Linked DNA regions of Sus scrofa. Each later gene encodes a partner of the first gene's protein in a complex. Links are inferred from orthologs where the notes say so. Each region holds a gene or a part of one and is shown on either strand. Other genes may lie near its edges. The genes, in order: C2H19orf57 and HSF2BP.

Region 1 (4,395 bases):
GGACAAAGGGCAGGTGGAGAAACCCAGCTGTCTGCTCTGAGCCTGCAGTCATGATGCGCTGCTAGCCAAGTTCAGTCGGGAAAGAAGGGCCCACACCCTGCCCCAAAGCAAAGCCACTCTGCACACCTGGCCTTTTGCTTTCCAGCATCTTCAGCAGAGACAGCCATGCAGGAAGGTTGGAGGCATTGAGAGTAAAGAGAAAACCCAAACAACGCAGAAGTTGAAAGCGGGGCCTTTGCCACATAACATACCTGTCTTCCTATCCTATTCTGGTTAATGACTAATCATGATGTGCTAATATTAGGCTGAACTACACAAAATTACCTTTTCTGTGGGTCAAACATGGCCAAATATGGTCAATTTTATATGGCTCTACCTAAGAGTAATAATGATGATGACAACACTTATTGAGTGCCATGTTCCAGTACATTCCATAAACAATCTCAAGGAATTTTCACAGCTATCCTGTAACATAGGGCCTCTTAAGGCCTCCATTTTACAGATGAGGAAACTGAGGCTTAGAACTGTGAAGTCCAATGTGCAGAAGCCAGGAGGCAACTTCAGGTGAGCCAGACTCTGATATCTGAGCACTAAGTTATGGCTCTAGTTCCTTACAGCAAAGCTCAGAAAAAAATCAAACTCTCCCAAAGGAGATGAAGAGAGGAAGAAAGGGCCCAAGCACAGTCCTGTGGGCTCATGGCAGCGGCTCTGGATTTGCACTTAGTTCTGGCCAAGCAACTTAGCTCTGCCCTGTGACCTTGGGCAGGTGTCTTCTTCTCTCTGGGCCTCAGCGTCCCCATCTGCACAATGGGGATAAAGAGTCTGACCTGGCCCGACTGATGAGAGGGTTCCATCAGTGCTCAGGCCAAGAGGGTAATAACTGCCTTTCTTACTCCAGGTCCGAGGCCTTCCCCTCCCCGACAGTAGCTGCCACGGCAACAGGTGGCCCTAATCCCTGAGCGGGGCATAAGGAGCTGGGGAGACGAAGTAAGTAGGCCCCATTTTGGGGGTTGACGCTAACCTGAGGGGGCGGGGACCGGGGCTCACCTGGGGGTGGAGATCTGACTCCTCTAGGGGGTGGGGCCCTACCTTGGACAAGGGTGGGAAGGGTTCTCTCGGCCCGGCCGTGGAGTACAGACTCACCTGGCGAGCGGTGGCGGCACCTCGGCCTGGAGGTCCCGAAGGTCCCTTCTTCTTGTGCATCTCCCAAGCTGGATACTCGGACCACCGGCCCCCTGGCCTGGCCTTGCCCGGCCTTCTCCCCCGGGGCCTATGGCCGCGCACGCGCCCTTCCTGAGTCCCGCGCCCCTCGTTGGCACCCCGCGACCGCCGACCGCGTACCCTCTGCCCCTCAAGTGGCCGCCCTACTTCCGCCTCGGCCCTTGGGCGCCGCGGCACCTGAGCACAGCAACTGGACTTGCCGGGCCCGCCGCACTGAAACTACAACTCCCGGCAGGAAGTGCGCGAGCGCGCACGCGCTGCCTCAGGGGTAGTGGGAGGTACCACGGGTTGCTCAGGAAAGAGGCGGGCGTACGCGAGTGAGAGGGGCGGTGCTGGCATCGCACATGCGCACGACGGGGCTTCATAGTGCGCGGGAAAGAGGCGGAGCGTTTGCCGGTGTGAGGCTTGGCAGCGGCACCCTGGTTCGTGGCTTTGCGCGGCCACTTGTGAGCTCTAGTCTCTCTTGGCGGTCCTGGTCTGGGCATTTCTTACTTTTTGGTGGCCTGGGTAGGGTTCGTGTGGCCTAGTCACCGGAAGCTGGGTCCAGAGCACTCGGGCCTCGGATCCTCAGCTACTCGACCTCTGTTTGGGCCAACTCTGCCTTTTATTTTCTCAAAAATTTTTTCGCAAATAATTTAACCGAGTTATCCCCAGCAGTTCCAGGTAGACCTCCTCAGTTCCCGATAAGGACAGAAGGACCTTGACTTCTCTGGCCCAGGTCGGTTTTGTCTTCACAGGCCCTCTAGGCTGGAAGGAATTGACCTGTGAAGACTGCTGCCGTTCCAAGGCCCCAGGCATCCCCTGAAGGCCCCCTCTTAAAGGACCCCCAGGTGGCCCCTCTAAAGCACTTAAATGACTCCAAAGTGTACTAGGTGTCACTTCAAAAGACCCGGGTGGAGAGAGGGGGCTTCACACAGGCTACCCCATCTTAGATACTGAAAGGGGACATCCCAGGGCTTCCCATGGCCCCAGCCCCCAACCCGCTATCTGCAGGATGAAGGCATTTTAATTCTTAGCCTGCCACAGCCCAAGGTAGCTATGACTCCCACCCTATGTTCCCCTGCCCAGTTGACCCCTGGGGCAGCCAGATGGGCCCAAGTGGGGGTGGGGTGGCCTCAGCCAAGGCCACTGTGTCTGTACCGAGTTAGGAACTGGTTGTAATGACGAAATCTGCTCCTTTTCAGATTTCTCTAGGGAGGGATAAAATGAGTAAGAGGAAGAAGCTTCGGACCTCAGGTATTTGGATGTTCAAGTTGGCACTTCTTTATTGCTTCTTCTGCTTATAGGAGGAATGTGGGTTTATGGCAGAAATGCTAGCATGACCAGACCAAGCTCCTGAGCAACAATGACCTAATACATGCTACTAAGAAAAATGTAAATTATGGAGAAGTGCTTGCAGTAAAAAGTGAAAGCTTTGTGGAGCTTCCTCCAGCCTCTAGTGGGATCCCACAGCCTTGGGAAGATCCACTAGGCTTCAGGAAAGGGATACAGCCTCTATGCTGCCCACTCTCAGAGATGACCTGTGAGTAGAGCTTGACATGCTTCAAGCTTAGCATCTGGTGCTAAGTGCTTCACTCTCAAAACAAAACCCTGAGTTCATCTCACTGTGTGATGGCAGAAGACTTACTCTGTATCTCACTTTCCTCCTCTGGAAATAGAGGACCTACCCTTTCCTTTAGAACAGGGACTCTCAAGCTGTCAAGGGGAGCATTTGGCAATGTCTAGAGGCATTTTTGTTTTTCATAACTGGTGTGTGTGTTTGCCAAGGGGCTGTGGCCATTTAGTGGATCTAGGCCAGGGATGCTGCTCAAAAATCATACAATGCGTAGGACAGCCCCCACAACACAGAATGACCTATCCCCAAATGTCAGTAGTACTCTAAATGGCAACAGTGCCACAGTTGAGAACTATGCCCTAGAGCTCACATGTGGATTAATATTTGTAAACTACTGAGAATAGACCCATGATAGTACACAAATATATCTTCTGTTATGATTGTCCTTTCAGATTAAAAAAAAGCTTTGTTTTGAAACAATTTTGAGCTTACAGAAAAAGTGCAGAAATAGTTCAGCATTCTGTCTACCCCTCCCCCAGCTTCCCCTAATATTAATGTCCCCCACAACCACAGGACAATGATCAACCATATAGTACAACATAAAAAAGATAGGAAATGAACTTCAGTATACTACTTCCAAACTTTCTCTTTGTATATACAAGTAGAGTGTTGTTATTGGAAAGTAGAATCATCACACGTGCAGATCCGCATCCTCTGTTTTTCACTTCATAGCATTTTGAGGCCATCTTGTCAATATACATACAGAATTTCCTTGTTCAGAAAGAAAGACACCCAGAATTACATTAGGATAGCTCCATTGCCCTGTCACTGCCTTAGGTAATTTAAATTTCATAAAAATTTAGAAATAACCCCTTCACTTAGTGGTTAATGAGCTTTGGGTGTAGAGCTTTTATTTCCCCAAGATATGGGACAAGAAAGAAATCATTAACAGATTGAAGATGTTTAGTGCAGTGATGAGCAGCAGGCTGCCTGGAGGTACAGGGATTTCTCTGACCTTGGAGAGGGAAGCTGGGGACAGCCTGGCCCACCCACAGCAGGTCATCTTGGCAGTGCGCTCCCTAGTTCAATGTGCTCTGGGCTGGCCCAGGACAGCTCTTTCTCTGTGTCCTGGATGGGGTGGGGAGAAAAGAAGATGATTCTGGCAGGTAGTGAAAGAAGCCCTTTCCATCCTGATGTCTTTGGCCTTTGGTGTCGAACACAAGGTTCTGCTTTAGTGTTTCTTCAATTAATTCTGTGGGGACAGATCATAGGAAGGAAATGGGAGCCTCTTCACGTCTGTTGATATTCTTGCTTTTTATTTGGTACGAACGTCCATTGGATGAGTGAAGCAAGCTAATGTTTGGGCATCTTAAGAAACTAAATAAATGAAGGGACTGAATTTTTGCATTTTCTGGCAGACCACAAGGTAGGACCGTGTTTGTGTAAGAAACATTGGTTGGAGCCTTGCTCTGGTTGGGCCCCTGAGGTGGGGATGGGAGGCAGGGCGACAATGAGATCAAAGGGTGCAGCAGACTCAGTTCCTGTCCTCAACACCTTCATGGTCTTGTCAGGAGAAAAAGAAAAATGCTTCTCACTGAGAGCTAATCAAATATGCAACA
Region 2 (4,330 bases), on another chromosome or scaffold:
GAAGCCTGAGGACATCCAGGTGGAGGTGCCAGGTGGGAAGGGCATATCTGAGCTGCAAGCAGCAAAGGTCTGGGTTAGAAAGTTCGGTTTAGGAACACACAACATTTATGGAATAAGAGGAAATCAAGTCTGTCAGGAAGACCCTAACAGATTTGAAGTCAGGAAGTCTGGCTTCGTTCCTCTTCCTAGGACTTCCCAGGAGAGTTTATCTTCTTTTTCCCAGAAGCCTTCAAAAGAAGGCTAACTGAGCGATCAGCACAGGGGGAGACATCCATTCTTTAAAACAGACTCAATGTATTAACACTAGCAGCAAATCGGACTTTTCCTCAGTGCAATAAAAAACTTCACCGCACTGTAATCCATGCCTTCAAAGGTTTACACCGGACCGGGTAAATACGATTCCTCAATGGCACCCCGCTGCAGTTAAAACCCAAACTGAAGAGCCCGCTGTGACCTGGCCACTGCCTACTTTCCCAACTCGCGTCCTAACACCCTCCCTCTCTCTCACTTACCGCTCTTCCAGCTCCTCATTCGTGCCCCGGCTCAGATCTGGAGAACATCACCCCGAGAGGCCTCCCTGCAACAGTCTTTGGAGAGGAGCTTCCCCGTTCCTCGGTTTTCATTTCCTTTACTCCACTTACACGAGTTCCGTTTCAGTTATCTATTCCCCCCCCCCCCCGCCAGATTTCCCGGGATAAATTCCTCGGGGGTAGGGATTCGGACTTCTCCGTCCTGGTCAACTGAAGGCGTGACTCAAGGAAGAGCGCACCAGAATCAAACAGGTGAGTGCACTGATCCCACGTGCAAGCTCTGGGAGGGCAGACTGGGACGGTTCTCGGCTTTCCGGCTCACCGGGACCCTCAGCGGACCACCTAACCCCCTCCGCCGCCGCCGCTCAACCGGAGAACCGGTGGAGACCCCGCAGGAAGTGGACACAGAGAAGCACACGGCTGTGCCGCACGCTCTCCCCGCTCCGCCCGCGGCTCCCCGGGCCCGCCCCCCACTCCCGCCAGGACCCCCCCCCCACCGCGGCTCCCTCCCCTCACCCCCGCTCCCCCACCCCGGCCGCCATGTGCGCGGCGGACCGCAGGGAGCCCACCTGTCTCCCTCTGTGTCTTCACGCTGATGTACTGGCGCAGCTTCTTCACCGCCCGGTCTCGGATGCCCTTCTCGTGGGACGCCAGCCGTTGAGCGAACTGGATCTCGGCCGGCTGCATGGCGGGGGCCATCGCGCCCGTTGGAGCATCCCCGGCCGCAGCCCGCCGCCGCCGAGCGCCCGCCGCCGTGCCGCGACTGCGCAGAAGGCGCCGGCGCGCGGGCTGATGACGTCACAAAGGCGCCGCTCGCCGCTCGCAGAGCGTTCCGCGAGCTGCGGGCCGGGCCCCGGCGGAGCGACGCTCCTCCGGTGCGCGTCGCGCCTCTCCGCCGCCGCCGCTGCCTCTCGGTCGCCAAGGCTCGGGCCGTTGAGGGCGAGGTTAGCCAGCGCTGGGTGTAGGCCGGGAAGAGACGGAGGGCCAGTTTTGCGTGGTCTGGAATCTTGCCCACTTCACAAAATCTCCATCCAACCGACCCGCAGCTGTTCCCGGGAGATACACGGCACCGGGTTTTTACGTTGGCCTCCTCGGGCCGCGGTGGGAACGGGGTTCTGGCGGGAGGTTGCGGGCAGCCCGCTGGAGGGGCGCCCGGAGCCGGGGCGAGGACTGGGTGCGTGTGCTGGTGCGTGCACCCGCGGGCCTGGAGAGCGCGTACTCCGGGCACTCGGACAGTGTCGGCTTGTGTCCGGCTTTGGACAGAAGTCCTAGTTGTGCGATAATCGGTACCTTTTTTTTTCTTTGGTGTTTTTGTATTTTTCCAGGGTCGCACCCACGGCATATGGAGGTTCGCCGGCTAGGGGTTTAATGGGAGCTATGGCCGCCGGCCTACACCACAGTCATGGCAACTCGGGGTCGAGCTGCGTCTTGGACCCACACCACAGCTCACGGCCACGCCAGATCCTTAACCCACTGGGCGAGGCCAGGGATCGAACCTGCAACCTCATGGTTCCTAGTCAGATTCGTTAACCACCGAGCCACCACGGGAACTCCCGTAACCGGTACCTTTGAACCCAGAGCTTGCACCATATGTTACGAACTCAGTGGGCATATGGGGGCTAGTGAATGGACCAAACGATGTCTCCCAGTCCATGGGGTCGTCTCAGTTCCTTAACCTGCTGGCCGGACTGAGGCTCCCTTATCTGGGGCAGACACCGCCGCCGCCGCCGGCGGAGCCTGTTGTCAGAAAGCTTCGACCTTCGCGAATGGAGTTTGGAGCTGAGCGCGCGAGAGGGGCCGCCGGCGGCTGCTTCGCGTGAACGCATGGCCCCTTAGTCTAAATAACACCCCTCGCCAAACATCAAGGACCCGAATCGAGTGATTTCACTGGACACTGACACGTGGGTCTCCCTGTTCTTCTTTGCAGTTAACAAGTTACGACCTCGGCCAAAGCCGGACGAGCCCACGCGGGATCTCGCCTCCACACCCCCGGCCCGTGGGGACCGCGATGCAGCGAAAGCTCTACGAGGTCTGAGCCTCGCGGCTCCCCGTACCTGACCCCGGCGTGGACGCGTTCCCGCGCTCGCCGGCGTGAGGGGTCCGCGCGTGCGCGCCCGCGCAGGCGCACGGAGCCGAGACCGCGCCGCCATGGGCGAGGCTGGCGGCGCTGAGGAGCCGCGCCGGGTCAGTGCCGAGGCTCGGGTCGGTGCCGAGGCGCGGGCCGCCGCCCGCGAGTTCGCGCTCTTGCCCTCGGCTCCCCCGCGCTCAGCGGGGTCTGCCTGGGCCTTGCTCGGGGGCTCGGGGAGGCCCCGGACGTCGTCTGCGGGCAGCGTGGCCAGGGCCGGCGGTGGGGGGCGGCGGCTCCGCCTCCGGAAGCGCGGGGGCCGCGGGATGGGCGGGGGCCGTGCCCCGGTGCCCCTGCGCCGCCCCCCGGGGGCCCCCCCCGCACGGCCCTGAGGCAGGCGGGGCAGGCGGGGCGCGGGTCGGGGCGAATCGGCCGCCCCAGCGGGAGCTCCCCTCCGGCCGCGCCCTGGAGCTGCGTTCAGGGAGATCCCAGCCTCCCGGCCCGTCTCCTGGCGGGTTGCGAGTGCGGGGCCGGGTGGTCAGCCCGGGGCTTGGCGCCCAGGGGGAAGGGCCTTTCCTCCTGGGAAGCTTGGTGCTGGCGCCTAGGAGAGCGCTGCCGGCGTGTTCCTTGGCCTTCGGGAATGGGGCCTCGCTCGCCCTGACAAAGTGGCTCGGAGGTCCCGTCGTGGCGCAGCGGAAACCAAGCCGGCTCATCACCGCGAGGTTGCGGTCGGTCCCTGGCCGCGCTCAGTGGGTTAAGGAGCCGGCGTTGTAGGCCGCAGACGCAGCTCGGGTCCTGCGTGGCTGCGGTGTAGACCGGCAGCTGCAGCTCTGACTGGACCCTCGCCTGGGAACCTCCCTGTGCCGCGGGTGTGGCCCTAAAAAGACACACAAAAATCGGCTGGCGATTCGAGGCCGATTCGAGGCCGGGGCTTAAACTCGGGAGGCGGAATTGCGGGGCCGAGGGCTCCTCCGGGGAAGCCGCGCTTTCCCAGCAGCCGGGAGCCCGAGGCTTTCCGGAAGGACGCGGCCGCTGCCCGGCTGGCTGGGCCGTCGGAGGAGCAGCGCGCTGGTGCCAACATGCGCTTGCTCTTTCAGCTCGTGGGGGCGAAGGAAGAGTTTGTCAGGGTGAGGAAGAAGGACCTGGAGCGCCTGACCACCGAGGTGATGCAGATTCGGGACTTCCTGCCCCGGATACTCAACGGGGACGTGCTGGAGAGCTTCCAGAAGCTGAAGATGCTGGAAAAAAGTGAGTCTTCTCCACCTCGAGCCGTCGGTGCCGGGCGGCCGTCTGTCTCCGCAGGTTCGCCTCCTGCGGGTCGCGGCCGCGGTGAGTGAGCCGGGAGCTGCCCTTAGCGTTTTCCCGATGACGCTGGGGAGACAGACACGGACAGAGAAGCCGGCTCGCCTGTGCGCTTGTGCCGAGGAAGGGGCGCCAGCTCTCAGGGCATCTGGCAGCAGCTCTTCTTTCTCCCCTTCCTCGTTGGGCAGGAGGTTTTCGTACTTTTACGACTGAAAAGTTCCAGAAATTAACTCCTTTCTGACGCGATTAGGGATCTTGCTGTGTGGCAGCCCTGCGAGGAGGCAGCCGTGTCTGTGGAAACACTCGTGTCTGGGTTGAGGGCGGGTCCGTTTCTAGCGCTGATTTAAATTTCAAGGACGTGTCCATTCGTCCTGAGGTTTGCACTTAGATGGACACCAGTTGTCAGTCTAGGGCCCTCTGAGTTCTTGAAGTT

Evidence for each region.
Region 2: the proteins of C2H19orf57 (region 1) and HSF2BP are in contact, whole or in part, in a crystal structure (PDB 7Z8Z), measured with the Mus musculus proteins. The link is inferred for Sus scrofa from reciprocal best matches to the Homo sapiens genes BRME1 and HSF2BP. Residues at the interface, in NP_083321.2 of Mus musculus: Met541, Gln542, Asp543, Ala544, Thr545, Val548, Arg549, Leu551, Val552, Leu555, Ser556, Asn559, Ile562, Met563, Thr565, His566, Leu569, Lys573; in NP_083178.1 of Mus musculus: Glu23, Phe24, Val25, Lys26, Val27, Arg28, Asp31, Leu32, Arg34, Leu35, Glu38, Val39, Gln41, Ile42, Phe45, Leu46, Arg48, Ile49, Glu53, Leu54.

Annotation. Positions count from the first base shown.
Region 1 is NC_010444.4:65,251,037-65,255,431, forward strand, and holds the start of C2H19orf57 (uncharacterized protein C19orf57 homolog), read left to right. Parts: upstream 1-1,487; 5' UTR 1,488-1,565; coding exon 1,566-1,667; exon of another isoform or gene 1,668-1,939; intron 1,940-2,405; coding exon 2,406-2,457; intron 2,458-4,395. Other genes in the region: CC2D1A (coiled-coil and C2 domain-containing protein 1A), read right to left, coding at 1,144-1,203. UniProt on the Homo sapiens protein: Meiotic recombination factor component of recombination bridges involved in meiotic double-strand break repair.
Region 2 is NC_010455.5:206,626,148-206,630,477, reverse strand, and holds the start of HSF2BP (heat shock factor 2-binding protein), read left to right. Parts: upstream 1-1,334; 5' UTR 1,335-1,474; intron 1,475-2,457; 5' UTR 2,458-2,678; coding exon 2,679-2,714; intron 2,715-3,692; coding exon 3,693-3,843; intron 3,844-4,330. Other genes in the region: RRP1B (ribosomal RNA processing protein 1 homolog B), read right to left, coding at 1,100-1,229. UniProt on the Homo sapiens protein: Meiotic recombination factor component of recombination bridges involved in meiotic double-strand break repair.